Canis lupus familiaris: one gene and its partners. The protein of the gene in region 2 interacts with the protein of the main gene of each other region in a biochemical or structural test. Links are inferred from orthologs where the notes say so. Each region holds a gene or a part of one and is shown on either strand. Other genes may lie near its edges. The genes, in order: TRIP12, CDKN2A, CCND2, E2F1, SERTAD1 and NPM1.

Region 1 (4,179 bases), on a different chromosome or scaffold from region 2:
TACGTAAAAACACTGATTTTACACTGGCTTAGCAACCCCTTCATTTTTTAAATAATTAGTTTCGCAGCTTCTGGAACTCTTAACTGCCAAAGTATTCCAAAACTTTCAGAAAGTAAATGAAAAACTAAAACAAAAAGCCTGTTCACTGGCACAAACTAAACAGTAACCGTCAGCTCAGCGGACTTACAAAATCACTCAAACTCCTTAAAAACTGGGAATTGAATAGGAACAATGATAAATGTTAAGAACATTCTGGTGTCAATTACATGGCAATTCTTAAATCCTTACGGATATTGGCACATTGGCACATTGGTAGAAAGGCAGATGTGGACAAAGCCCACAAACTCCATGTTAATAATGCCCTCTTCGGCGTAAAATAAATGAAATAAAAACTCCCCAAGCAATCACATAAAGATGTTAAAAACAAACAAACAAAAACCACACTAATTCAATCTTTCTGGGCCTGAACAGGGAAGCAGCAGGGTCGTTTCAAAAGAAATTCTGTTTGCTGCAAAATTTACCTTCAGTATTGATCTCTTTGCATAATGTAAATATGAAGATGAACCTCAATAAACCCATCTGCAACTGATGGTCTCCAAACCTCTGATAATGCCCTTTCATTCCTCAATCTGAACTGCCCCCCACTCCCCCCACCCCGAGTAACCGCGACACACACACACACACACACACACACAGGCCTCCTATATAGGCCTCTTGCCTTTTTCCCCAACAACCAGGACCTTTGTTCCGAGCGTCGGGTGTTTTTTTTTTTTTTTTTTTTTTTGCCCCAACTCAATAGCTCTTTCAACTTTCTACCCCTATTATTTTTGTTTTGTGTTGTGTTGTGTTGAAGGAGGAGAATCCTCAAGCCTCAACTTTCTGTGCTCGTTAAAGAAAAAAAAAAAAAAAAAAAAAAAACCCGAAATGCCAAGAACATATCCACAGAGAGAGAGAGAGAGAGAGAGAGAGAGAGAGAGAGACTGGAGAGAGGAAGGAATCAAGTTGAACACAGCACTCCGGGGCCTACAGAACGGAGGGAAGCCCGGGGATCGGGTGATTCGGCAGCCCGGGCGAGATCCGAGGACGGCGGGCCCCGAGCGCGGCGACGCCCACCCGGGACGCACCCCCCGCCCCAGGGCGCCGACCCCCGCGCCCCGCGCCCCGCGCCCGCTGACACGGTCCCTCCTTCAATGAACTCACGAAGCAATTAAAACTCCCCCCCCCCCCCCACACACACACACACCCTCGCCGGGCACGATGCTGAAAACGAAGCCTTATCAAAATCCAACCAACCTGTCTTAAGGGTTTAGCAGCAGCCCCTTCCGCGCTCTCCCGACCTCACCAGGGGAGCCAATTCCCCGCCGTCCGTCCCGCCCCCCCCCAACACCGGCACTTCAAATAGGTGACTTCCTCCCGCTTTGCATGGGGCTCGTTTCATTTGTGTGTGTGTGTTCTTTTTTTTTTTTTTTTTCTTAAATCTTTATTAATCTCTCCCCCTGTAGGAATGGAAATCTAGAAGCGCCACGAAGGGCAGGATTTGGGAATTTCCCGACCTTCGTTATCTGAACTCCCCTCCAACTTGCTTCTGAACTAGAAAACCCACTCTCTCCCGGGGGGGGGGGGGGGGGGGGAGGGGGGAGGATGGAGGGGAGGGGAGCGGAGGGGAGGGGAGGGGGAGCCGGAGGGACAAACGGTATAATGGGTTTTATGTAATCCACATATAAATAAATTAATCGCCTGACTCGCTCTGAATGCGGAGACGATTGGAGTGACAATCGGGGCGCCTCCCTCGCGGGGCCCGGACCCCCCACCCCCCGACGTCCCCGCTCCTCTGCGCTTCTCCGCCAAGTTTCCCGGCCTCTTCGCCAGACCCTCCTGCACGCCCGCCCCCCCGTCATCCCCGCTCAGCCTCAACTTCCCACGGCTCTACCCACACGGCCCGGCGCGGACCCCGTCTCCGGCCTCGCCCGCCCCCCCGCGCCCCCCCACCCCCGCAGGAAACCCCTTACTGCGGTCTAAAGTCACTCCGGCCTCTCCCTCCTCTGACCCTCGCTTCCCACAACTGTTGTCACTCGAGCTGCTCCCTAGTTTCCATTTCCGGGCCGTCCGTCGTCCCCCCGCCCCCCCGGGCCCCGGAGCCTCCCCTCTCCCGGCTTCCGGGCCCCCCATCCCATTTCCGGGGAACCCTCGCCGTCTTCACACCCCCCACCTGCACTTCCGGCCCCCCACTTTCTCGCTTCCTAGACGCCCTCCGAGCCCCAAAGCCCACTTCCGCCCCCCCCGCCGGCCCCCACCGGGCTCCCCAACACCCGCACGCCTTACCCCGGTTCCGCGAAGGGCCCTCCTCATCGCCGGGGGCCGGAGGGGGGAACCCAGAGAAGCCCCCCCGCCTTGCGCCCGCCCGGCCCCAGCCTCCCTCGAGCGCCTCGCCCGTCAACCCCCGGCCCGGTCCTTCCGCGGCCCCGCCACCGCCGCCGCCGCCGCCGCCGGGAGCAGGCCGAGCCGGGGCCGAATCGCCGCGATGACACAACCGGGCTTCCTGGGACTTTCTCTCCCAGCTCCTCCCCACCCCCCCCCCCCCCCGCTGCCCCCTCCCAACCCCTCGGCACAACCCCCTCCCCCAAGCCTGGCCCGGCCGCTCGGAACTGCGCCCCAATTACCTAGTTGGGCCCCAAAGTCTCCGGTCCGGACTCGGTGGCGCGGCAGCAACTTCCACTCGCTCCCCCCCCCCCCCCCCGGCGGCGGCGGCGGCGGCGGCGGCGGCTCCTCGGGTCCCTTCAATTATCAGCTGAGCCGCAGCACCGCGGCCGGCGTGCGCCTCCGCCCGCGCCGCCTCCCTCCCCGCCCGTTCCAACACCCTCCGGGAACTACTTTGCCCGCCGGCTCGGGCTGCCGGGCTCGTCCGCGGGAAAGGCCCCGCTGCCTACTCGCGGCCCATCACATCGCCCCTCCCTCCCCCACCGCCCGGAGCGACTCTCCCAGCGGCCCGAGATCTCCTCCCGATCCCTTCGAGGGACCAGGAAGGGGAATGTGGGGCCGTGCTTGGTATCCCTCCGCCGGGGTCACCCCCTCCCCTCCATGGTAGCAGGAACTAATTCCCTTTCGGGTCACCGGGGACCTGAGGCTTGAAATTTCACAGACGAGAGTTCCCTGGGCCTCTCGGAGGTCGGGGCGATCACCCCAAGTCAAACCGCCCCCCTCCGCTAGCTCAAAAGCGGGGTTCGATTTAAACTAGGGCTTTGGCCCCATGACCCCAGCGAAGCCCCGCCCCTTCCTGGTTGTCTTAGCGACGCCGGTGGCGTCCCAAGATGGCGTCGTGGCTGCCGGAGACGCTGTTCGAAATTGTAGGACAAGGCCCAGCGCCGAGCAAAGACTATTACCAGTTACTGGTCACCCGGTCCCAGGCAAGTGCGAGGCGCGGTTTAACCCTAAGTCCCCGCCGCCCCGGCCGAGCGCGGGACGCGGGCCGCGCTAGGCCGAGAGCGACGGTGGCCCGCCGGAAGCGTGCGGTCCCAGCCCGGGGCCCGGGGCCCGGAGCGCGGAGCCCGGAGCCCGGAGCCCGGAGCGCGGAGATTTCCCTCGTCACCTCGGCCTCGTCGGCCGGCTCCTCGGGGGCCCGCGTGTCTGTAGGCAGCCCCGGCCCGGCGCGTCCCCGGCGAGCTCCTCTGCCTGCCCACGTCGCCGCCGGCTCCCTCCCTGCCACCCGGGGCTCCTACCCGCAGAGTTCCCTCCGCGCGAAGAGGAAGAGCAGGCGTCCCCGGCTTGCGTGCAGCGGTGCAGCCTCACCTCCGCGTGGGAAGCAGAGAAAGAAAGACTCAGCCAAGTGTCCCGAGGAGGAGCCGGCAGGGGAGGGGAGAGAGAGAGGGACGATCTCTCTTCCAGGGTAGGAGTTAACCGTGGGGGAAGGGTGGGGGGGGATGATTTTTTTTTTTTTTTTTTTTTTTTTTTTTTTTTTTTTTTTTAAATCTCGTGGTCTTGGCCGGGACCGCGACCACATCCCAGCTTCCTTACTGCCAGCAGGAACGGGTCGTGGAGAGCTTTCCGCTTACCTTTTGGGAGCCCCTTCTATCCCATTGAAAGTGCGCGGGGGGTGGTACCGAAGTGTGGGAGCTGCTCTGCGCGTCGGCCCCACCCATAATGACATCTGCTCCACAACAATAAGCCCGGGGATTAGGTTAT
Region 2 (4,122 bases):
TGTCTGTCAGAGGCATGACAATAGCAAAAGAGTGAGAGACGAACTGGCTTGAACTATAGCCTAACCTCCTATAGCCCCCCCACCCATTTTGATACAAAATTATATAAGGCCCAGAGATTTTGTATGGTTTTCTGTTGTATATCCAAGCCCAGGACATAATAATTGTTAAAAAGTGAAAGTGAAAACAACAACAAATCTTTAATTCCTAAAAAACTTTTAATATACACTTAGCCTACCAGAATGTTAAAATTCACTCTAAGTATAAAATGAGGGTTCTCTAACCAGCCCCCAAATTCCTTCCCATAATGAGCTGAAGAATGTCCCCAAAGATGTGTACTACCTAACACTTGAAAGCTGTGAATATAATACCTTACATGGGAAGAGAGGCTTCCCAGATGTGATTAAATTAAGGATTTTGAGAGAGATTAACATGGATTATCAGGATGGGCCCAATGTAATCACAAATTCCCTTATGAGGTTACAGAAGAAAGATCTAAGAATGGAGGTCAGAGAGAAGAAGATGCAGGGACCATGAGCACAGGAATGTTGATGGCCATTAGAAGTTGGAAACAGATTCTCCCCTAGAACTTCCAAAAGAAATGCAGCATTGTGGATCCATTTTAGACTTCAACCTCCAGAACTATAAGATAATAAATTTATGTTGGTTTGAGACACAAAAGTTGTGGTAATTTGTTACAGCAGAAATAGGAAACTAAGAAACTTCCCAAGTTTATATACTCTGAGAGTTCATTAAACAGGAGGTGCTCCCTTCATTTGTTTGATAAATCGTCTTTGAAACAAAGTCATTACCAAAGAGGATTTTTTAAATAGTATCTACAATCACAGCAACCTTACAATTTGAGTGTTACATGGCAGATGGCAGTGGTAGATAATTTTCTTTTAGGCTAACCACTATTTGATTATATTAGCTAGACTTATAGTGACTGTATAAAAAGGAATTATTTTTAATTACATTCTGCATTAAACGTAAATAATTATTTCTCTAAGCCAAGGAACATCTGCGAAGCCTCTTTTCCCATGTAAGGTAACATACACTTAACTGATTTTAAAGGTTTTCATTATATTTTGCAGTATTAAAGTATGAAAGAAACCTAACACTTAAATACTTAAATCTAAATAGCAATCCAAAGCTGAAAGAAAAAGAATCGATTAAATGAATATTTGTAGAGTGCTTAAATCCATTTGATAAGATATTTAAAGTAATTATAATTTTCTATAAACTAATTAGTTTTGTATTAAACACAAGGTTGGTTAGGGTTCTAAACCAAAACCATGCACTCTTTTCTCTATGTTCTTATTTTCCCTATTAAAAAAATTGTTAAAACTAATTATCCAACTTTTTTCTTTTTGTATTTAAACAAAGTCTCTTCAAACATATTCCAAACTTCAAGGCCACACTCAGTCTCTGAGCAAAATCTTAGAGAAATGAGAAATCATGCATGCATTCTTTTTAAAGGACTCATGGTTTTCTTCTACCATCACACAACCTCTCTACTCTCAAAATCCCTTCACACTTAAAATCCCAAATAATCTCAAGTTTTAAGGCATTTTGTTTTTATTTTTATATATGTATGTTAAGGTATATAAAATTTATCCTATGTAGCATTGTTTCAGGAAAGGAAGATGACTTGTGAAATCTGTGCAATTGCAGGTACAGTTACTTTCCTTTGTCTTGTTATGCTTGAATTTGTGCAGTGAGCCTTTGTTTCACATACATTTTATTTTTCACAATCCAAAATCATTGTCAACACTGGGAATAAAACTAGGGTGGTGACGAACAGGGAGAAATAGGGTTTTTTGGTTTTGGGTTTTTTTTTTTTTTTTTTTTAGCCTGGATTTAGGAATTTAGTGAAGGCAAACAACAACAGCAAATACCCAGCACCCCCACCCCCACCCACAACCGGAGTCAGGAGGGAAGAAACCACATTTCTGAACCGTGAGGAATCCAAAACTCTCTCAACTGCGTTAATCTATAGCAAGTCAAAAGTAACAAAAATAATAGGAGGTACCCTCAAAATGGTAGCTAAATCGACGGCATTATCTCAGGCAAGATCACACTGTTTTTCTTCATCTATGTCTGTCTGTATTCCCTAAATTCTCACAAGCACAGATGTGCCATACACGGTTAAAGTAAAAATAAACACAACATGCAGTTGCTTCTGAACAATTTCAATGAATATTTATTCAATTTACACAGCAGAAGGTTTCCAGTACAATCGCCGCTAGCACAGAAGATGATCCGCTCCCTTCAGGGGTCTATGAGTTCCGGCCTAGTGGGCCCAACAAATCTTCCATTTCTTTAAAATCTTGCTTTACGTTCGTAACTGTGTATCAGATGGAGAGCACACCTCGGACTATATTAACACGAACAGGCTCCCCCCTCCCGATCTCAGACCAGACATCTGCCCTGCACGTGCCTCCCCATCTCCCCTCCCCCCCCCCCCCCCCCCCCCCCCGCGGCTTCCTCTGCCCCCAGGACGCGGACACTGGAAGCTCCGGGCTCCAGACACCACCTGGGACCTCACCAGGGAGTCTCCCCGTCCCCGACCAGCGACCGGCAGACCTGGAGGACTCCCTTGCAAACCCTGTGCCGCACAGTCGTCCGCCACCGCCTCCTCCCGCCGCCCGCGCGCTCACCCACCTGAATCGGGCTCCGACCCAGGCGGTTCGGCGCGTCGGGAGGCGCCCCCGCCGCGAGCAGCGCCCGCACCTCGTCCGCGCGGCCCCGGGCTGCCGCCGAGGCCAGCCAGTCGGCGAAGGGCTCCATGCTGCTCCCGAGCGCGGGCCCCCGGCTCCCTCCCTCCCTCCCTCCTTCCCGCCGCGGCCGTCGGGCGCCAGCGGCCCGCCCCAGCCTCTCGTGACCCGCCCGCCCCTCCTCTCCCCTCCTCTCCCCTCCTCCGGGGCCGGCGGAAGCGGCCCCCAGACTCGGCCCCTCGACTCCTCCAACCCGACTCTTTCAATCCAGGAGAGCGCCCTCCGCTCTCAACTCGCTGCGAAACGAGTCGCCCCACGCGTGGCCTCTGCCGTCTCGGTTCCACGGCTCCCCCAGGGGAGCACGACCGAGCCGCGGGGGCAGGGAGCCGCGGGCCGCCCCACAGCTGCCCTCGCGCCGCGTCGCTCCGCGCTCCGCCCCGCCTGCGCTCCCCGAGCCGGGCGCTGCCCCCCCGCCCCTCCCCCCGCTGCCCATCGCCCCCCGCCCCTCCCCCGTCGCCCGTCGCCCCCTCCCCCGGCCGCCCATGGCGCCCCGCCCCCCCCCCCGCCGCCCATTGCGCCCCTGTCGCCCCTCCCCCGTCGCCCGTCGCCCCCCGCCCCTCCCCCGTCGCCCGTCGCCCCCTCCCCCGGCCGCCCATTGCGCCCCGCCCCCCCCCGCCGCCCATCACCCCTCCCCCCGCCGCCCATTGCGCCCCTGTCGCCCCTCCCCCGTCGCCCGTCGCCCCCCGCCCCTCCCCCGTCGCCCGTCGCCCCCTCCCCCGGCCGCCCATTGCGCCCCGCCCCCCCCACCGCCCATCACCCCTCCCCCCGCCGCCCCTTGCGCCCCTGTCGCCCCTCCCCCGTCGCCCGTCGCCCCCCCCGCCCCTCCCCCGTCGCCCCTCCCCCAGCCGCCCATTGCGCCCCGCCCCTCCCCCCGCCGCCCATCGCTCCTCCCCCCGCCGCCCATTGCGCCCCCCTCGCCCATCGCCCCCCCGCCCCTCCCCCGTCGCCCGTCGCCCCCTCCCCCCGCCGCCCATGGCGCCCCGCCCCTCCCCCCGCCGCCCATCGACCTCCCCCCGCCCCTTCCCCGTCGCCCATCACCCCCTCCCCCCGCCGTCCATCGCCCCCCCCCCGCCCCTTTCCCGTCGCCCATTACCACCCCCCCCCGCCCTTCCCCGTCGCCCATCACCCCCTCCCCCCGCCGCCCATCGCCCCCCCGCCCCTTTCCCGTCGCCCATTACCACCCCCCCGCCCTTCCCCGCCGCCCATCGCCCCCCCCCGCCCCTTCCCGGTCTCCCATCACCCCCCTCCCCCCGCCGCCCATCGCCCCCCCCCCCCAGCGGAGGCGCACGCGGTCTCGGAGCCAGTTAACCCGATTAAAGCGACATTTCTCTCGTTTCCGTCCTCCGC
Region 3 (4,195 bases), on a different chromosome or scaffold from region 2:
TTGAATTTCACCGACACAACAAATGTCTTGGGGTATCTGGGTATCTTATTCCTGGATGTAGCCTCAGTGCTTAGTATAGTGCCTGGCACACAGTAGGAACACACACAAAAAAAATTTGTATTTAAAGCGTTATTTCCGGGAAGTGTGAAAATTCCAGCAGTGTGGTAATTTGGGATCCAAAGGATTTGTTTGGGGAGCAGGAGGTAGAAGCTCGCCAGGCCTGGAGAGAGCAAAGAAGGAAGGAGGAATAGAAAGGAGATTGTCATTACCAGCAGCTCCTGAGGCTTGATGGAGTTGTCAGTGTAAATGCACAACTTCTCTGCGGTCAGAGGGATAGTCTCTTTAAGTTTGGAGGCCAGGAACATGCAGACAGCACCCAGGAGCTGCAGATGGGTCTTAGGAGTTGGGACCCCGGCCAAGAAGCGATCCAGGTAATTCATGGCCAAAGGGAAGACCTCCTCTTCGCACTTCTGTTCCTCACAGACCTAAGATGGGAGCGGGAATGGGTTGGGTGGGGGTGGTTGGAGGGAAGAATATCAGGAAAACACACATACACAAAAAAAGAAATGAAAAGGCATAACCTATGGAAAGAAGCAAAAATATTTAATTTTTCAGCGGGGAGGGGGAGGGGAGTAGACTATGTGATAAGAATAAAGATGAGGAAAACGGGGTAAATCTAAATGGTCGGTGCTGGGGTACTCCCCAGGAACGTAAGAGAGAGTTGAACTGAAGATCCGAACCGAGGAGGCAAACAAATGCGCAGTAGCCGCCAGGCTCGGCGACGCTCCCTTTGGCTACTGACTTCTTTGCTCCCTCTAACTCACTCACACTCTCTTTTTTGGATTTCGTCATCTTTTCAAAAAATCAATAAAAATATTCTGGAGGCTCCGGGGGTCTTCTTCTTGGTCTCATTCGGAGCCCCGGACCCTGCTCTATCATTCCCGACAATTGAAAAAAATGTCCGGGGGCGTCCTTGCGGCCCAGGCGCCGCTATTGGGGGGGTGGGTGGGGAGAGGTGGGGAAGAGAGGGGGAGGGAGGAGAAGAGGAAGAGCCGCAGCCTCGGCGGCGGACTCGGAGCCTGGGGAGACGGTTTCAAAAAATAATTAAAAATCGAGGAAATATCCTAGAAAAGCCCTTTTGGCGTGAAAACCCCACAGAGGAACCAGGCTTCCCGAAACGGAGATTTCGGGTGCCGGAAAGGTCTGTATCTCAACCCCTGGGGCTTTGGATCCCGAGGGGAAAGTTGGAGGGGTGAGCGCCGCGGCGGGAGTGTCCGTCCGGCTGCGGCCCGCAAGGGCAGAAACCGGGGACCGTGGTGAGGAGCCGGGGGAAAGGCGAGGAGCGGGGCGCCGCCGGAGAGCACCCGGGGCTCTGACCTCTCCGTTGGGGGCGCCCCGACATCCCCCCTACACACACCTCCTCCCCCCTTCCTACCCCACCCAAATCTCCGCACCGAGAAAACTGGAAAGCCAAACTGTAAGTAACCTTCGTGAGGTGGGGGCTGGGGGAGAGGGTACTATTGCAAGTGGGGGGGCCGGGCTAACGGGGTGCGGGGGGCGAGCGGGCAACGCTTTCCAGCCTTTCCAGCCGGAGTTTGCAAAGCAACATGGCGAAACCACGGCAGGTCCAGAGCCGTGCATACGTGGGCACACGGCTCGCTCGGCAAAGATTTGGAGCAAGGGTAAAGAAGTGGTTCTTTTGGGTTCCCCTAAAACACACGTTTCTTCATTGCGACTTCCGGGGCTCCTGAATTCTCCGTTTCTCTCCTCCTCTCTCCTCCCCCCCTCCTCCCCCCCCCCCCCCCCAAGTGCCAACGCGGAGTCGCAACCACATGCGGGGACCTGAGGCTAGGACGATTTTGCTCTGGCCTTTGGGGGGCTGCTCTTTTTTACTTTGGGGCCCCGATTCCACGCTCCCACTCCCAGCTTCACTGCACCGAAAGCAGCCGCAGCTTCGCAAAAGACAGATCAGGATGGGGGTGGGAAGAAGAGGCAGCCACATGCAGGCACACGCGCGCGGGATGCTCCCCCACCCCCGCCCCAGGACAGTCTCGTTTCTCCCAGATTTTCCTCCTCCCCCCCTCCCCTCCCCCAGTTCTTCTAGCATCCTGCAGGGAACAGAAATGAAGCCACGCGTCTCGCCAAAGGGCGAGGGGTAACCTCGCGCGCGGGAGTGCGGAGGCGAGCGCGGATCCTGCCATCTCCCAGTTTTAGGGTCCCTGCGCTGGGGGCGGGGGTGGGGAGCGTGGGCGTCTATCCGGATGGGGACAGACGGAGTCCGTCTGCAGACCTACCTCCAGCATCCAGGTGGCCACCATCCTGCGCATGTAGGGCTGGATGTCCTTCTGCACGCATTTGAAGTAGGAGCACTGGGGAAGGTAGCGCTCCTCGATGGTGAGCAAGTTCTGCAAAACGCGGTCGTCGTAGAGCAGGTTGGCGTCCGGCACGGCCCTGCGGACCGGGTCCACCTCGCAGCACAGCAGCTCCATGGCCAGTCGGGTACCCGCTCGCTCCCCTGCTTTCTCCGGACTGGAAAAGTTGGGGGGTTTTGAAGGGGGGAGGGGAGAGGGTTCCCCTTACCTCCTTCCTTTGGCTAAATAGGGGGTTTTCGAGAGAAAAGTTATGGGGCAGAGAGAGACAGAGGCTGGGGAGAAGAGAGGAGAGGGAAGGGCGCTGGGAGAGGAGAGCCTCGGGGGCTGCTAACTCTGCCTGCCCTCCCCTTCAAACTTGTCTCGCTCTCCCCTGCTCGCTCTTCTCTGCTCTGCGAGGCAGTGACGCAAACTGGCTGGGCAGTTAGTTCTCCTCCCTCTCGCCTCGCTCCCCTCTCCGGTTCCTCCTCCCCTTCCCTCCCCTCTCGTCCCTCCCCTCCTCCTTTCAATCTCTCCGTCCCTCCCTCCCTTTCCCCTCTTGTTATTTAGGAGAACAGCAGCTGGCCCGACCTAACTTCAAACGCGGTCCCCCGCCCCCCCACCCCTCTCCTTAGCTCTCCGAGGCCCTTTCCCTCTATCCAGCCCTGCATGCCAGGGGCCCCGAATAGGGGAACCCACAAAAAAACCCCACCGATTCCTACTTATTCCCTCTAATTTCGCACATTCTGTGGGCGTATCGTGCCAAGTACGACCCTCCAACTTTGGCTTTCTCAAAATTGACCTTTCCATTCCTGCCCATGCATGTAAGATCCGAGAATGACGAGTGGATCACTTGAAGATGGGGTGGGCTCCTGCAATTTATAAGCAGATCCCTTAAGTGAAGAATAAGGAGGGCGATTTTAGAAAATAGCAACCTCGGATATCCAGAGATAAAGATTCTGTCCCGGACGTTTGAGCTCCTGGATCACTTCGGGCTGTTTCAAAAGCCCGATTAAAGGGGCCAGAACAACGCCCCCCCACCCCACCCCGCCTGTGTGTGCGAAGAGGAAGGAGAGGAAGGGGTGGGTGTTAGGAGGGAGGGGGCGGCTTCTCCGACGTGATAGAATGTGACCCTGAAGCAGAAACCCTCCCCTTCTTGGGGGCGCTACAGGCGCCACGGGGAGCAGGAGAGAAGAGGTCTGGGCTGCCGCAGGCTGGGGGGGGGGGGGCAGGGCTACCATCGGTTCTTCCGCGGCCCGCGGCCACGCAGGAAAAACCCGCTTCCTCGCCCCTGCATCTGCTGACAAGCCGCCCGAGGTGTCTGCGCCGAGCGTGGCCACACTGATACAGCTTTCTAGGAAATAGCCCGGGAGGGGGAGGGGAGGAGAGGGGGGCGAGGGAGGGATTAGGTTTGGCTCCCCCTCTCTCCCCCTGCGCAAACAACACCACCCCTTCCTTTCCTCGGAGGCCCGAGACTTCCATCCTGTGTCCTCCGCTGGCATCCTCGCCGACCCCTCCGGGTTCATGCCTCACCCGCCAGCCAGGGCTTTCTCCCCGGGAGCCGGGTTGCGGTGGGGACGCTGCCAGCGCAGTCGGCTCCGACATGTGCTCTAACGCATCCCCGGGTCAAGGCTGCTTTTACAGGGGATATGGTGGCGTTTCCTCACCTTCTTCCTCCCCCCCCGCCCCCCTCCCCCGGGTTTCAGTGTAATTTCACTTGGGGGGGAAGGGGAGAGAGCCCAGCGCCCCCGGCAAGTTGGCGGAGCTGGCACGTGCAGGGAGCATGGCGTGGGTCAGGGCTCGGGACACACCGTGGTCAACCGAGCGCCTCCTTCGCGGAGGCCGGG
Region 4 (3,930 bases), on a different chromosome or scaffold from region 2:
GGATTAAAAACATGAAACATTTTTCTCTGGTTCAGTGTCTAATATTCTAGAATCCATTCTAGGGGTAACCTCTGTATGGTATGTGGGTGGAGGACAACCATGGGGGGACTGTTACTATATCTATAAAATGGGGATGATCTACTGTTTGAACATAGAAACAAAGGAAAAACTACAATTTTTAAAATTTAAGGGGAAAAAAAAGCTGTCACAACCATCTTTTTTAAAAAAAAACAGGCTTAGGAAAAGAAAACAGGAGGAAAAATGAATGGTGTTGGCATCCTTCAACTTTTTAGCCTCTTAACTTTTTCTATAGTAAATGTTTTAATTTGCTTTTTAACAGCTATGACAACAGGATAGAGGTGGACAGGAAGTGCCAGGAGGAATGGCTGAGTTGTAGAGTCTTGCATGCTAGAGGTGCTCAATGAATGCTCACTGATGCAGAAGCTGAACCCGTAGCTTGTTTCAAAGACTGCCTCACACAAATGTCAGTGCAGAGGGTCAGAGGAGGCCACAGCTCAATCGGCCAGTGGCTGACCAGAGGTACAAGAGTGGAGAGTCTTGGAGGGGGTGTTTCTGGACTTCAGCTCTGGGGTGGTGCCAGCCCTCACCCCCACCCACCGGCAGAAAATGGATACTAGTGCTTCAAAGCTGTGAGGGCAGAGGCTCCTTCTTTGCCCATTGTCTAGTACCTTTTGGGCAGTTCACTAACTCAACAGTAGAATGGATGGAATGCTCAGGCCCACAAGGCTGCCCCTGACACTGCTGGGGGTGGGGTGGGTACATTTCCTCAGCCCAGTCTCTGGCAGCCCTCTGGGCCTGGAGCTCAGCTTCTACAGCCCCAGGTCGGCTAAGTACTTGTCAGTCAGCTAAATGCAGTTTTCAGGTCCAAGCCCCAGGCTGGCACCTGCAGAGAAAAAAGGCCCCTGGGATAGAGGTGACCCACCCTTAGTACAATCCTCCTCCCTTTACCCATCAGAAGGGTTCCTAACTTCCTTCAACCTGTATTATTAACATTTCTAGGAGGCAAGGCATCCCAGTGGCTAACTAGTTAACAGCTCAGGAAGTCTGGACTGGTCCCACCATTCCACTAGCTGAATGACCTATCATCTCTAGGTCTCAGCTTCCCTATCTGTAAAAGGGGATGGTTGTTGAGAGAGTTAACTGGGTGAAGTGCTTGGCACACAGCCTGACATATAAAACAGTCTCAAAACAATGGTGGCTCCTATTGTTATTATTATTAGCGTCTTGGTGATTCCGGAAGGAAGGCAGAGCTAGGCTGGGCGAGGGGCCAAGGGAGTTAGGGGAGACTTGCCGGGATGCCTCAGGGACCAGCTGCCACCCAGGCCCCCATAAGCAGTTGGATAGCTTCCACCTCCTTGCCCGGGCTCTGCTTCACCCCTCCTACTTGCTCCAGGCCCCCTGCTGAGACCCCCTCCTGCCTGGCTGGCCTGGCCCCTGCCCCCTGCCAGCAGCCTTCCATGCCCCACCTTCACCCACAGGCCCTGACAGTCAAGCTGGTCTCCACGCCCAGTCCTGCAGCTCACAGGTCCAAGCTCCAGGCCTCTAGGCCCTGCTCTCCAGTAATTAAGCAATCTTTTCTGGGGCCCCCAGTCCAAATTGCTCCTGAGCCTCTTGCTGCTCAGGGAGCACTTTATCAAGGCATCTCCCTGGAATATTTACTCTCTCCTGGCACTGGGGGCCTCCACTCCAGCTCCCAGAGGCCCAGCCCACCCATTACTTCCCTGGGGGCCTAGGGGTCTGCCTGCCTGATTAATGAGGCTCCATGGCAACCAGGGCCTGTGAGGGTGGAGGGTGGCAGATGGAAGGACAGGCAGAGGGAGGGGATCAGCAGCTGGCCCAGCCACCCCGCCCCTGCAGAGAAGGCCTCCCAGCCAGGAGGCCTGTCCCCAGAGGCCCAGAGGCCCAGGCCTGCACCTGGCAGTGGAGCATCTAGGCAGGAAGGAGGGTCTCCTCAATGACTCTTTCAGCAGTCTGGCCCCAGGATAGCCCCCTCGACCTCCTCAAGGGGCCCTGTCCACTACCCTGCCACGAGTTCTGGTCTGGAGCCAGCAGGCCTCAGTTCAAATCCCAGCCCCACCACTTGCAGCCGTATGACCGGGGGCAAGTCACTTCCCCTCTCCGGGCCTCCGTTCAGATGGGCACAGTGACAACACTGAGCTCACAGCATGGTTGTGAGTTCTGGCTCGAAGTTCGCCAGAGACCTGGCATGCAGGCAACACCAGCTGAATACACGTGGGCTATTATTACCACTGAGTCTGACCCTCGAGCGGCTCGGGGAAAGCCGAGGCCCAGAGCAGAGGAGCAAACAGCGACTGGCCCGAGGTCACCCCGCATCCCGGGGCGGGGCCCGGAGGCCCAACCCAGGCTCGACCCCGCCCAGCCCGGGAGCCTCGGCCCACCCCCTCCCCCCGCCCCCGTTGCCTCCGGGCCAAAAACCGCGCCCCGACCGGGTCTGCACGGGGGTCCAGACGTGCACTCGGCCCTGTGTCCCTGGTGTCCGTACCGGCGGGCGGCCGAGCGCAGGGCGCGGCGCGCTGGGTGTGGGCCGGGGCGCCTGCGGCGTGGCGAAGAGCAGCAGGTCGGGGTCGCGGGGGCCAGCGGCCGGCGCGGCCGGGCCGGCGGGGGCCGGCGGGGCGCTGGCGTCCTGCGCCGTGGAGATGATGACGATCTGCGAGGAGTCGAGCAGCCGCAGCGCGCCGGCCCCGAGCAGGGCCTCCAGCGCCGGCGCGCATGGGCCGCCTGCGGGGGCCCCGGCCACGGCCATGGCGCTCACGGCCCGCGCGGCCCGGGTGGCAGGCGGCGGCGGCGGCGCGGGCCCATGGCGGCAGGCCGCGGCGAGGGCTCGATCCCGCTCCGCCCCCGGCCGCCGCTGCCTGCAAAGTCCCGGCCACTTTTACGCGCCAAATCCTTTTTGCCGCGAAAGAGCCACGAGCCGCCGAGCGCTCTGACCATTGGCTGTCGGGCCCGTGACGTAGGCGACGGCGACGGGGTCCATTGGCTGCAGCGTGCCGGACCGGCGGCGGTGGGCGGGACGGGGCGTCGGCGCGAGGAGGCGCGGCCAATCGCGGGGCCGGGCGCGCGCAGGCTTTGTCGGGGCGGTGCCAGGAGCTCTCGCACTCCCCGCCCCCAGCCGGGACTGTCCCTACCCCGGGCGTGGTGGCGCGGCTCGCACCCCGACGCCCCGCGGACTCCGGGTCCCGGCATGTGGAGCCCTTTGGGTCAGTGTCCGTTCTGCGCTTCACACCGTATTCGGACCTCCCGTGACCCCCTAGACTCCGCCACCTGTAGCCCCAACAACCTTAGTCTGAATCACTTAGAAACTGCCCTTCCTTTTTTCTATGGTCAGGCCTGTCTCCAAAGCCCCAGCTGCCGCTCCCATCCTCAACTTGCCCCATCTATACCATTTACTTTCAAATCCTGCACCTGCCCTGTCCCTCTCACCCGGAGCCCCAGCAGAAGCGGGCTGTTAGAAAATGAGGAGGGACATCTGGCCCAATACAGCTTGGGGCTTTCCTGTAAGCCCCCTTTTAGCTGGAATCTCTTCAATAGCCGATGCACAGCTTCTGCTTGAACTCATTTATTCACCCATTTATTCAACAAACGTTTTTGAGAGCCTGCTCTGTGCCCCATTCTTAGTTCAGACCTTGAAGAGCTCGGTCTTGTGAAAAGAGAAGGAGAGGAATAGAAGTAACGAATGCTTGGAATATGAGGAGGAATTTCCACCATTAACTCCACGTTAGAGTTCACAAAGGGAGGAGGTAAGGGTGCTGAGCATGAAAATGCAGTTAATCCGGAGGCCCTGGGACCTCTCCATCAGCCATTTCTCATTGCTCAGGTCAGCTGATTTGACCAATATTGTCCTCTCCTCTGTGCCAGGCCTTGTGCCAGCTTTGAGGGCAGAGACGTGAG
Region 5 (4,227 bases), on a different chromosome or scaffold from region 2:
AAATCACATTCCAGCCACCAGGCCCTGTGATCCCATCCCAAGGGCCAATCCCAGACTCCCCTCATTAGTCCTAGACAAGAGGACAGAGGTGAAGTTGCTCAGGACTGGATTCTGTCTCTCCAAAGGCCCTCTCTCTGCTCTAAGGAAGCCAGCTGTGTCTTTCCAAGGAGAGTTGGTCCAGCCACCAGGCTCAGTTTGGACACCAGACCACCATCCCAGTTGTGGGGATCAGCGCCCTGGACCCGGTGGCCGCTCCAGTGCCTGTGTGCCCACCAACACGTCCAGGAGGTAGTCCAGCTCAGCCTCATCCAGTTCCAGAGCCTCCTCCTTGCCAGGCCCATCCTCAGGGCCAGGTTTGAGGCCCTCGGAGGCTGGTGCCCAAAGTTCACTGTCATACATAGAGGTGTCGATGTCCTCAAACAGACCCTCAAGCTCATCGTCCAGCAGACAGCCAGTGGCTGGGCCCAGCAGGTCCAAGGCACCCAGGTTGGGTGGGGATCCTCCAGTGGGGCGGCCCGGTGGCCCCTCGTCCACCAAGGGCTGGGGGGCCTGGCTCAGGCCCTCGATATGGCTGAGGTCCTCCAGAAGGCTGGCCATGGAGGCTGAGAGGGCAGCGTCTGAGCTGGCCAGCAGATTGTCAGCCACACAAGGGGCCGCAGGCGGGCTGGGCACAGGTGGCAGGGTAGGTTCAGGTGCCATGGATGCCTGGATGCGCCGCAGCGTGTTCACTACCAGTACCAGGTGCCGCAGGTCCGGCTCACTCTGCCGCAGGCTGTGGTGGAGCTTGAGCACAGAAAGGTCCAAGAGGGAACTGGAGGCCACGGCCGGGGGGGCCTGTGCCACTGCTGGGAGGCTGGGATCCAGCCACCAGGAGTCCACTGCCAGGGCTTCCTTCTCCCGCTCCTCCTCCCGCTTGCGCTTCAGACCTTTGCTCAGCATCATCTGCAGGGAGGGAGGAGTCATTCAGTTATGGAAAGTCAATGTTAAGTTAAAAACCCTGTCTCTGATAACTTATGTCTGGTGTGATCTTGAGCAGGCCATTTAATTTCTTGAACCTGTGCTTTCTTAGGGAAACCTGAAGATATGAGTGATCATAGTATCTACCTCATGGAGCTGTTATATAGAGTAAATGTGGTAACGTACAAAAAAGCACTTACAACAGTGCCTAGTACATTGTAACGATTCTTATTAACAAATACTCTTAATAGCTATTATTATGTATTTCTTCAGTGAACCATGTGAAATGCCCAAAATTCAATCTTTTTAACTCATGAAAGCAGCTGTTTTACATAGTTCCATCCGACACTTACTGTCTACTACCCATCAGACAAATAAATAAATAAATACAGGAAATGTAGAGGTGTGCTAGGAAGATATTCAAAGGTTCTGGGGAGTGGTCACGGAAGGCTCCTCCGAGGTGACATTTTAGCTGACCCTTCCTCAAGCAGGAGGAGCCACCCACAGAAGGACCAGGGGAAAGCATTCCGGGAAGAGAGAACAACAAGGGCAAAGAAAGACCTGGAGGCTGGATGAGCATGAACTGAAAAAAAACAAAACAAAACAAAACAAAATAAAACACCAGTGTGGTCAGCGCAGAGTGACACGGAAGGGGACCGGGTTTGGAGAGCAAGCAGAGGCAAGGAGTTTGGATTTTACTGTGAGTGTCATTGAAGGATTTTGAGCAGGGAACACGGGTGGTGTTGTGAACTGATTAGATTTCCAGAAGATCCCCCCTCGGCTGCTTCGAGTTAGATGAGGGTGAAAGGAAGGGAAACGGGGAAGAGCGCGGTCCTGAGCTCCATTCAGAGGCCACCGCGCTCTGGGGCGGGTGATGGTGGGGGCCTGAAGTGGAAGGTGGAGGGCAGTGGACATGGAAAGAAGTTGGTTGCTTCCGGATTTCTTTGGGAGGCAGAGTAGACATGGCTCGCTGGGAAATCCTGACCGGCACCGGGGGGTCACCAAGAGAACTTTGAGGACCCACACTCTCCCCGAGATAGGGGCCCCTGGCGTTCTGGACGCCAGGCCCAACTTACTTTCTTGAGCCTGGAAGCTTGAAGGCTCCAATCCCCTTGCCCAACAGGACCTTAAAAGCGACTCCTCACACTTCTCAAAACGGTCCTCGCCTCCTTCCCCGAAGACCCGGGAGTCCAGAACCGCAGGAATTCAGGCGCCCCCCTCCCCGGACTCCGCCCCCCCGTCCCGGCGCCCCCTAGCGGCGCCAGAACGGCTTTCCCCGGGGATTCCGGCCCCTCGGACCCCGGGATCCTCGATACGGCCCCACGTCCTGGCTGTCGTTCCTGCCCGCAGCGCAGGGCCGTGCGGGCCGGGAACCCCGAGGGCTGTTCTGCTCTCTCGGCCTGTGCTCGCTTCCGGCAGGCAGTGGAGGCGGCTCCTCCCGAAGCGGCGGCGGCGGCGGGGGCGGGTGAGTCACGCAGCCGGAGCCAGAGAGCCGGCGCCTCCGCCCCCTTCCCGGGCTGCGGCGTGATTCACCCAGCCCGGCCGGGCGACACTCGGGGGCCCGCGCATCTCGATCCCGGGCAGCCCCGGCGCGCACCGGCCGGACCCGGGGATCGAACCTGCCAAACGACCCCCTCGCGGGTTTCCCTTCTCGCCTCGGCCCCCTTCACTTCATTTACATACCTAGCTCACCCGCTGCCAATCAGAACGAAGAGGGATCCACGCGCAGCCAATCAGGGAGCGGCGACGGCAGCATCGCTCGCTCGCTCTCCTTCAGCAGCCGGCGCCTGGGTCGGTAGACGCAGTTCTGACTCCGGCGCACGACTCCAGGCTCCTGACTCCCCTTAACTACCGCCCACTCCCGCGGTGGCCCCGCCCTCGGCCCGCGATTGGCCTTGGGCGGTGATGGGCGGGGCCTGGAGAAGGAAGGTTCGAAGGGAGGGGAGGGTGGCTTCAGGGCGCATGCCTGGCGACTGTGTAAGGAGCCGAGGCCAGGTGGGGTGGCTGTGTTCACTGCGGGGCAGTGGCTGGGAGGGGTTTCTTCCTTCTCAAGGTGTGAGCCCCTCACACCTGCCCGTACATTTGCCAAACCCAGCAATTGAGCAACTTACAGACCCAGTCCTAACAGAGGTCTGCACTCTAAGCCAGATAAGCATGGGTTCAAATTCTGACCACTTACTCAACGTGCGATCTAGGGAAAAAAAAATCCTTGGACCTCTCTGAGCCACACACAAAGTCTGTTAAATGGACAGCTTCTTGCCTACCTCTTGAGAGTCGGGAAAATTAAAATAAGGTTGTGTCTTTAAGAGCACCATAGCGCACTAAGCAAATGCTGAGCAGTTGGACTCAATAGTGGTTACAGGAGGGGGAGGGGGAGCCGGTGGGGATAGGAATAGAGCCACTGGAGTCACATCCTGGGCTCCATTCCCTAAGTAGCTGTGTGACCTTGGGCAAGTAATTTTAATCCCAAAGGTCTCAGTTTCCTCACCTTTTTAAAATGAGAGTATTTTGAGGATTAAAAAGAATAATCACACAGGGGCCCGAGGCAGGCTCAGTCGAGAGCATGTGACTCTTGACCTCTAAGTTATGAGTTCAAGGCCCCCGCGCTGGGGGCAGAGATTCTTTTTTTTTTTTTTTTTTTTAAGATTTTATTTATTTACTCATGAGAGACACAGGCAGAGGGAGAGGCAGGCTCCCTGGTGGGAGCCCAAACAAGATTCAATTCTAGATCCCAGGATCATGACCTGAGGCAAAGGCAGATAGATGCTCAACCGCTGACCCACCCAGGCGTCCCAGGTGTAGACATTTCATAAAAATAAGATCTAAAAGAAAAAAAGAGGGGCGTGTGGGTGGCTCAGGTCATGATCCTAGGGTTCTGGGATCAAGTCCCACATCTGGCTCCCTACTCAGCAGGGAGTCTGCTTCTCCATCTCCCTCTACCCCTCCCCCTTGCTCATGCTCTCTCTCAAATAAATAAAAAAAGAAAAAAATAATCCCACAAAGTGCTCAGAATGGTGCACAACATGTCCTTTTGTTGGTAGTAATAGCTGTTGTGGTTATAGCACAGGTGCTTAATTCAAGGCAGGACACCTGGGGTCGGGTATGGGTAGACAGGAAGTTAACGCTTGTCTGGTAAACTGACAAGGGGACTTAACTTCTCCAAGTAGCTCATTTGCTAACTCTTTTTGAATTGTGGGAAGAACTGTTGTGAATAGAGTTCCTGGCCAAAGTAAGCTCTAGAAAATGCTAACTAAACTAGTTGATTCAGGT
Region 6 (3,500 bases), on a different chromosome or scaffold from region 2:
GGGTGGGGGGATAGGTGATGGGCACTTGATGGGATGAGCCCTGAGTGTTCTATGTTGGCAAATCGAATTTAAATTAAAAATTTTTTAAAAATAATAAGGACTCATTTCATTTGTAGTGATGATGATGATGATTTTGATGATGAGGAAGCTGAAGAAAAGGCTCCAGTAAAGAAAGTAAGTACAACACAGTGGTACAAGGCTGACAGAAATAGCTAGTAACAGAAATGGAAATTTTTTACTGCTTTGTTTTGTAGTTAACAAAAGCTGGTTTGGGAGGAGTTGTTGATCTTGTACTTAAATTAGTCCTGAATAGGATTTTCATCTTAAAAATTTTCCTAATAGTGATCTATTTTCTTTATCCTTGTGGTCTTCTCCCACTTTCATAGCCCTTAATACCTTTTGTCAGAATGATTGTTTTGTCTTACCCTGATTGCTTTTGTTTAAGTGGTTTGGGGCTGTTTTACTTGGACTCATATGTCTGTTATGTGTAGGAGAGCATTGATTAAGATTAATTTCTAATTGCAGTCTATACGAGATACTCCAGCCAAAAATGCACAAAAATCAAACCAGAATGGAAAAGACTCAAAACCATCAACACCAAGAACAAAAGTAAGTGGCATACACATAAACCACAACCTTCACTGAAGTAGTTAGAAGTTTTAATTGATATCTTAAAGTGCTAAAGTGTGCTTGTTGGTGTGCTCGCTTCGGCGGCATATATACTGAAATTGAAACAATACAGAGAAGATTAGCATGGTGCCTGTGCAAATTCATGAAGCATTCCATATTCTTGAAGGACAGTCATTATACAGTTTCGCTCATATGAGTAATATAAAAAATAATGAAAGGGATTATAGGGGAAAGGAGAGAAAGTAAGTGGGAAATATCACAGTGACAAAACAGGAAACTCCTAACTTTGGGGAACAACCAAGGGGTAGTGGAAGGGGAAGTGGGTGGGGGGATGGTGACTGGGTGACAGGCACTGAGGGGGGGCACTTGAGGGGATACGCACTGGGTATTATACTATATGTTGGTAAGTCAAACTCCAATAGAAAATACATATATAAAACATTGTGTTTGTTGGTGGAGGATCCATCCCCTAGTGGAGGATGCCAACAAAAATTTTTTTATTGCACTATAAACAGTTGTGTCCTGTAAGGAGTTTTTTAAAGTATTTTATGGCATAGAGTTTTCTCAACTCTGGCTGTGTACTAGAATCTAGCAACTTAAAAGAGCCATAGTACCCCAGCTTGGAGATTATTAGAAGCTATGGGATGGGCCTAAGGCATATCAAGGTACATTTACTTGCTTCATTCTTGGGGCCTTCTGGTTTCAATTTTGATGGTGTACAAGTGTAGAACTGATCTGATATGATGTTGAATATAAAAAGCAAGCTCAAACTATTCTTGTTTTTATTCAGGAATGATATATTAAGAATAAGAAACAATTGTTGAGATGTTTATTTAAAACAACTCAACTCTATATTTTTTACAAGGAAGGATTGTAAATAAGAATGATTTTTCTTGAGAAAATCCAGGTAGGTAGGATGGGTCGTAAGAGACACCCCTTTATGTCCTTTTGAACCTTAATCTTTTTTTTTTTCAGGGTCAAGAATCTTTCAAAAAACAGGAAAAGACTCCCAAAACACCGAAAGGACCTAGTTCTGTAGAAGACATTAAAGCAAAAATGCAAGCAAGTATAGAAAAAGTGAGTATAAAAGGATCTTAAAACCTAGATGGGTTTTTTTATTCCTTTTTTTTTTTTTTTTTTTTTTAAGATTTTATTTATTCTTGAGAGAGAGGCAGTCACAGGCAGAAGGAAGAACAGGCTCCATGCAGGAAGCCAGCCCCGTGTGGGACTGTATCCTGGGACCCTAGGATCACACCCTGAGCTGAAGCAAACACTCAACCACTGAGCCACCCAGGCGTCCTGTCCCTCCTCTTTTAGAGTAATACCATTGTGATGGCTTTGGAACTAGATTGTTCCTTACTTTTTTAATCTTGAAATCTTGCCCCTTTTGTGCTATGCTTTTTCTTTTTTCAGAAACATGTTTTTTGTATTCATTTCTCACCTTGACATTTTTGTGTGTGTGTGTGTGTACTTGAAGTTACATATATATATATGTACTTTTTTATATATATATAAAAGACCAGTAAGTTGGTTTTAAGCTTAATTCTGACCTTAGATGTTAAAAGGAGTTCAATGAGTTTTTTTTTTAGTTGTAATATGCTATAGAACCAGCAGAGGGCGTTTGAGTCTTCTATAAATTTACAGGCTGTGGGAAAAGTGGAAACTGCTTGGTTGCTGATGGGTTAGTACAATAATTATTCATGACTGATTTTAGTCAAACATTTTCCAACAAATTTGAATCTTTATATGCTCTATTTTCTTTTTTTTTTAATTTAAGATTTATTTATTTATGAGAGAGAGAGAGAGAGAGAGAGGCAGAGAGGCAGACACAGGAGGAGGGAGAAGCAGGCTCCATGCCGGGAGCCTGACGTGGGACTTGATCCTGGGACTCCAGGATTGCGCCCTGGGCCAAAGGCAGGCGCTAAACTGCTGAGCCACCCAGGGATCCCTTTATTTGCTCTTTATACCAAGAAATTACCAGTTATATATGGTAATATCTTGAATCTCTGAACGCTTATATTTAGTTACCATTTTGTCTTAAATAATGGAAATGTGAGAAGAAATTAGCTCTCTACCTGCTACTTACTTGATTGAGAAACTAAACTTACTAAACCTAGTAAACTCGGACTTCAGAGTAAAGGTGGGATGGTGAGGAAAAGTTGCTGACTCTCTGTTTCCCCATGTTTTTCCTTTGCTTTATAAGTTTACTTGGTTTCAGTAAATTTTTTTGTGCAGTGATGAGTCAGTTGGGAAACCTTTAGAACCAAAATGTGTTTGTTGGTTTTTGCTTTAGTACTACTGCATACCTTTCTAGCTTCTGGTATCACTGTTTTATTTTTATCCCTTTCATACAATGCTGAAATGACATTTTTTAGATCCCCCCCCCCCATTTTAATATGGTCCTATCTCCTTGGTTTAATTACAGGCGAATTGAACAGTCCTGGGCACTACTGGTAAAATAAACCCAAAGCTGGGGAGAGAGGAAAAGGAGAGACAAATATAGTCCATACTGACTGTCATCAACAATCCAGACTGAAGTCTCAAATCCCTTTCCTGTTTTGCCACCCACCCACACCCCCTTCCAGGCTGGAAGCAATCTCATTCTTGATCTCCTAAAGCACTTTTCTTTTGACTGCTGTGATTCAGTGACCCCTTACACTTTGCTTTCTATGATTTGCGCATTTGCTTTACCTCTTTGGCCATGTTTTAATCGCCTTTGTGTCTCCCTAGCTGCTCAATAAATACTTGAATGAATCAAATAAGAATGTATGTGACAATAATTTAAAAATGGGATTTACAGTGAGGTTTATTTTCTAGGTTACAGAGGCAATTTAAGGATCTTAACCATACTTCTGATCTTAACCTATTTT

The links.
Region 1: the proteins of CDKN2A (region 2) and TRIP12 form a complex in vitro, tested with the Homo sapiens proteins (2 studies listed by BioGRID). The link is inferred for Canis lupus familiaris from reciprocal best matches to the Homo sapiens genes CDKN2A and TRIP12.
Region 3: the proteins of CDKN2A (region 2) and CCND2 form a complex in vitro, tested with the Homo sapiens proteins (2 studies listed by BioGRID). The link is inferred for Canis lupus familiaris from reciprocal best matches to the Homo sapiens genes CDKN2A and CCND2.
Region 4: the proteins of CDKN2A (region 2) and E2F1 form a complex in vitro, tested with the Homo sapiens proteins (2 studies listed by BioGRID). The link is inferred for Canis lupus familiaris from reciprocal best matches to the Homo sapiens genes CDKN2A and E2F1.
Region 5: the proteins of CDKN2A (region 2) and SERTAD1 form a complex in vitro, tested with the Homo sapiens proteins (2 studies listed by BioGRID). The link is inferred for Canis lupus familiaris from reciprocal best matches to the Homo sapiens genes CDKN2A and SERTAD1.
Region 6: the proteins of CDKN2A (region 2) and NPM1 form a complex in vitro, tested with the Homo sapiens proteins (3 studies listed by BioGRID). The link is inferred for Canis lupus familiaris from reciprocal best matches to the Homo sapiens genes CDKN2A and NPM1.

The regions. Positions count from the first base shown.
Region 1 is NC_049246.1:42,403,406-42,407,584, forward strand, and holds the start of TRIP12 (E3 ubiquitin-protein ligase TRIP12), read right to left. Parts: upstream 2,801-4,179; 5' UTR 2,661-2,800; intron 2,344-2,660; exon of another isoform or gene 2,323-2,343; intron 2,116-2,322; exon of another isoform or gene 2,010-2,115; intron 1-2,009. Other genes in the region: FBXO36 (F-box only protein 36), read left to right, coding at 3,248-3,404, 3,723-3,883. UniProt on the Homo sapiens protein: E3 ubiquitin-protein ligase involved in ubiquitin fusion degradation (UFD) pathway and regulation of DNA repair.
Region 2 is NC_049232.1:41,340,029-41,344,150, forward strand, and holds the start of CDKN2A (cyclin-dependent kinase inhibitor 2A), read right to left. Parts: upstream 2,801-4,122; 5' UTR 2,789-2,800; coding exon 2,663-2,788; intron 1-2,662. UniProt on the Homo sapiens protein: Acts as a negative regulator of the proliferation of normal cells by interacting strongly with CDK4 and CDK6. This inhibits their ability to interact with cyclins D and to phosphorylate the retinoblastoma protein.
Region 3 is NC_049248.1:5,498,240-5,502,434, reverse strand, and holds the start of CCND2 (G1/S-specific cyclin-D2), read right to left. Parts: upstream 2,801-4,195; 5' UTR 2,490-2,800; coding exon 2,295-2,489; intron 486-2,294; coding exon 270-485; intron 1-269. UniProt on the Homo sapiens protein: Regulatory component of the cyclin D2-CDK4 (DC) complex that phosphorylates and inhibits members of the retinoblastoma (RB) protein family including RB1 and regulates the cell-cycle during G(1)/S transition.
Region 4 is NC_049245.1:23,405,724-23,409,653, forward strand, and holds the start of E2F1 (transcription factor E2F1), read right to left. Parts: upstream 2,801-3,930; 5' UTR 2,786-2,800; coding exon 2,525-2,785; intron 1-2,524. UniProt on the Homo sapiens protein: Transcription activator that binds DNA cooperatively with DP proteins through the E2 recognition site, 5'-TTTC[CG]CGC-3' found in the promoter region of a number of genes whose products are involved in cell cycle regulation or in DNA replication.
Region 5 is NC_049222.1:114,052,873-114,057,099, reverse strand, and holds the start of SERTAD1 (SERTA domain-containing protein 1), read right to left. Parts: upstream 2,801-4,227; 5' UTR 2,641-2,800; intron 2,189-2,640; exon of another isoform or gene 2,034-2,188; intron 943-2,033; coding exon 229-942; 3' UTR 1-228. UniProt on the Homo sapiens protein: Acts at E2F-responsive promoters as coregulator to integrate signals provided by PHD- and/or bromodomain-containing transcription factors. Stimulates E2F1/TFDP1 transcriptional activity.
Region 6 is NC_049225.1:41,653,174-41,656,673, reverse strand, and holds part of NPM1 (nucleophosmin), read left to right. Parts: intron 1-116; coding exon 117-174; intron 175-525; coding exon 526-609; intron 610-698; exon of another isoform or gene 699-792; intron 793-1,605; coding exon 1,606-1,707; intron 1,708-3,500. UniProt on the Homo sapiens protein: Involved in diverse cellular processes such as ribosome biogenesis, centrosome duplication, protein chaperoning, histone assembly, cell proliferation, and regulation of tumor suppressors p53/TP53 and ARF.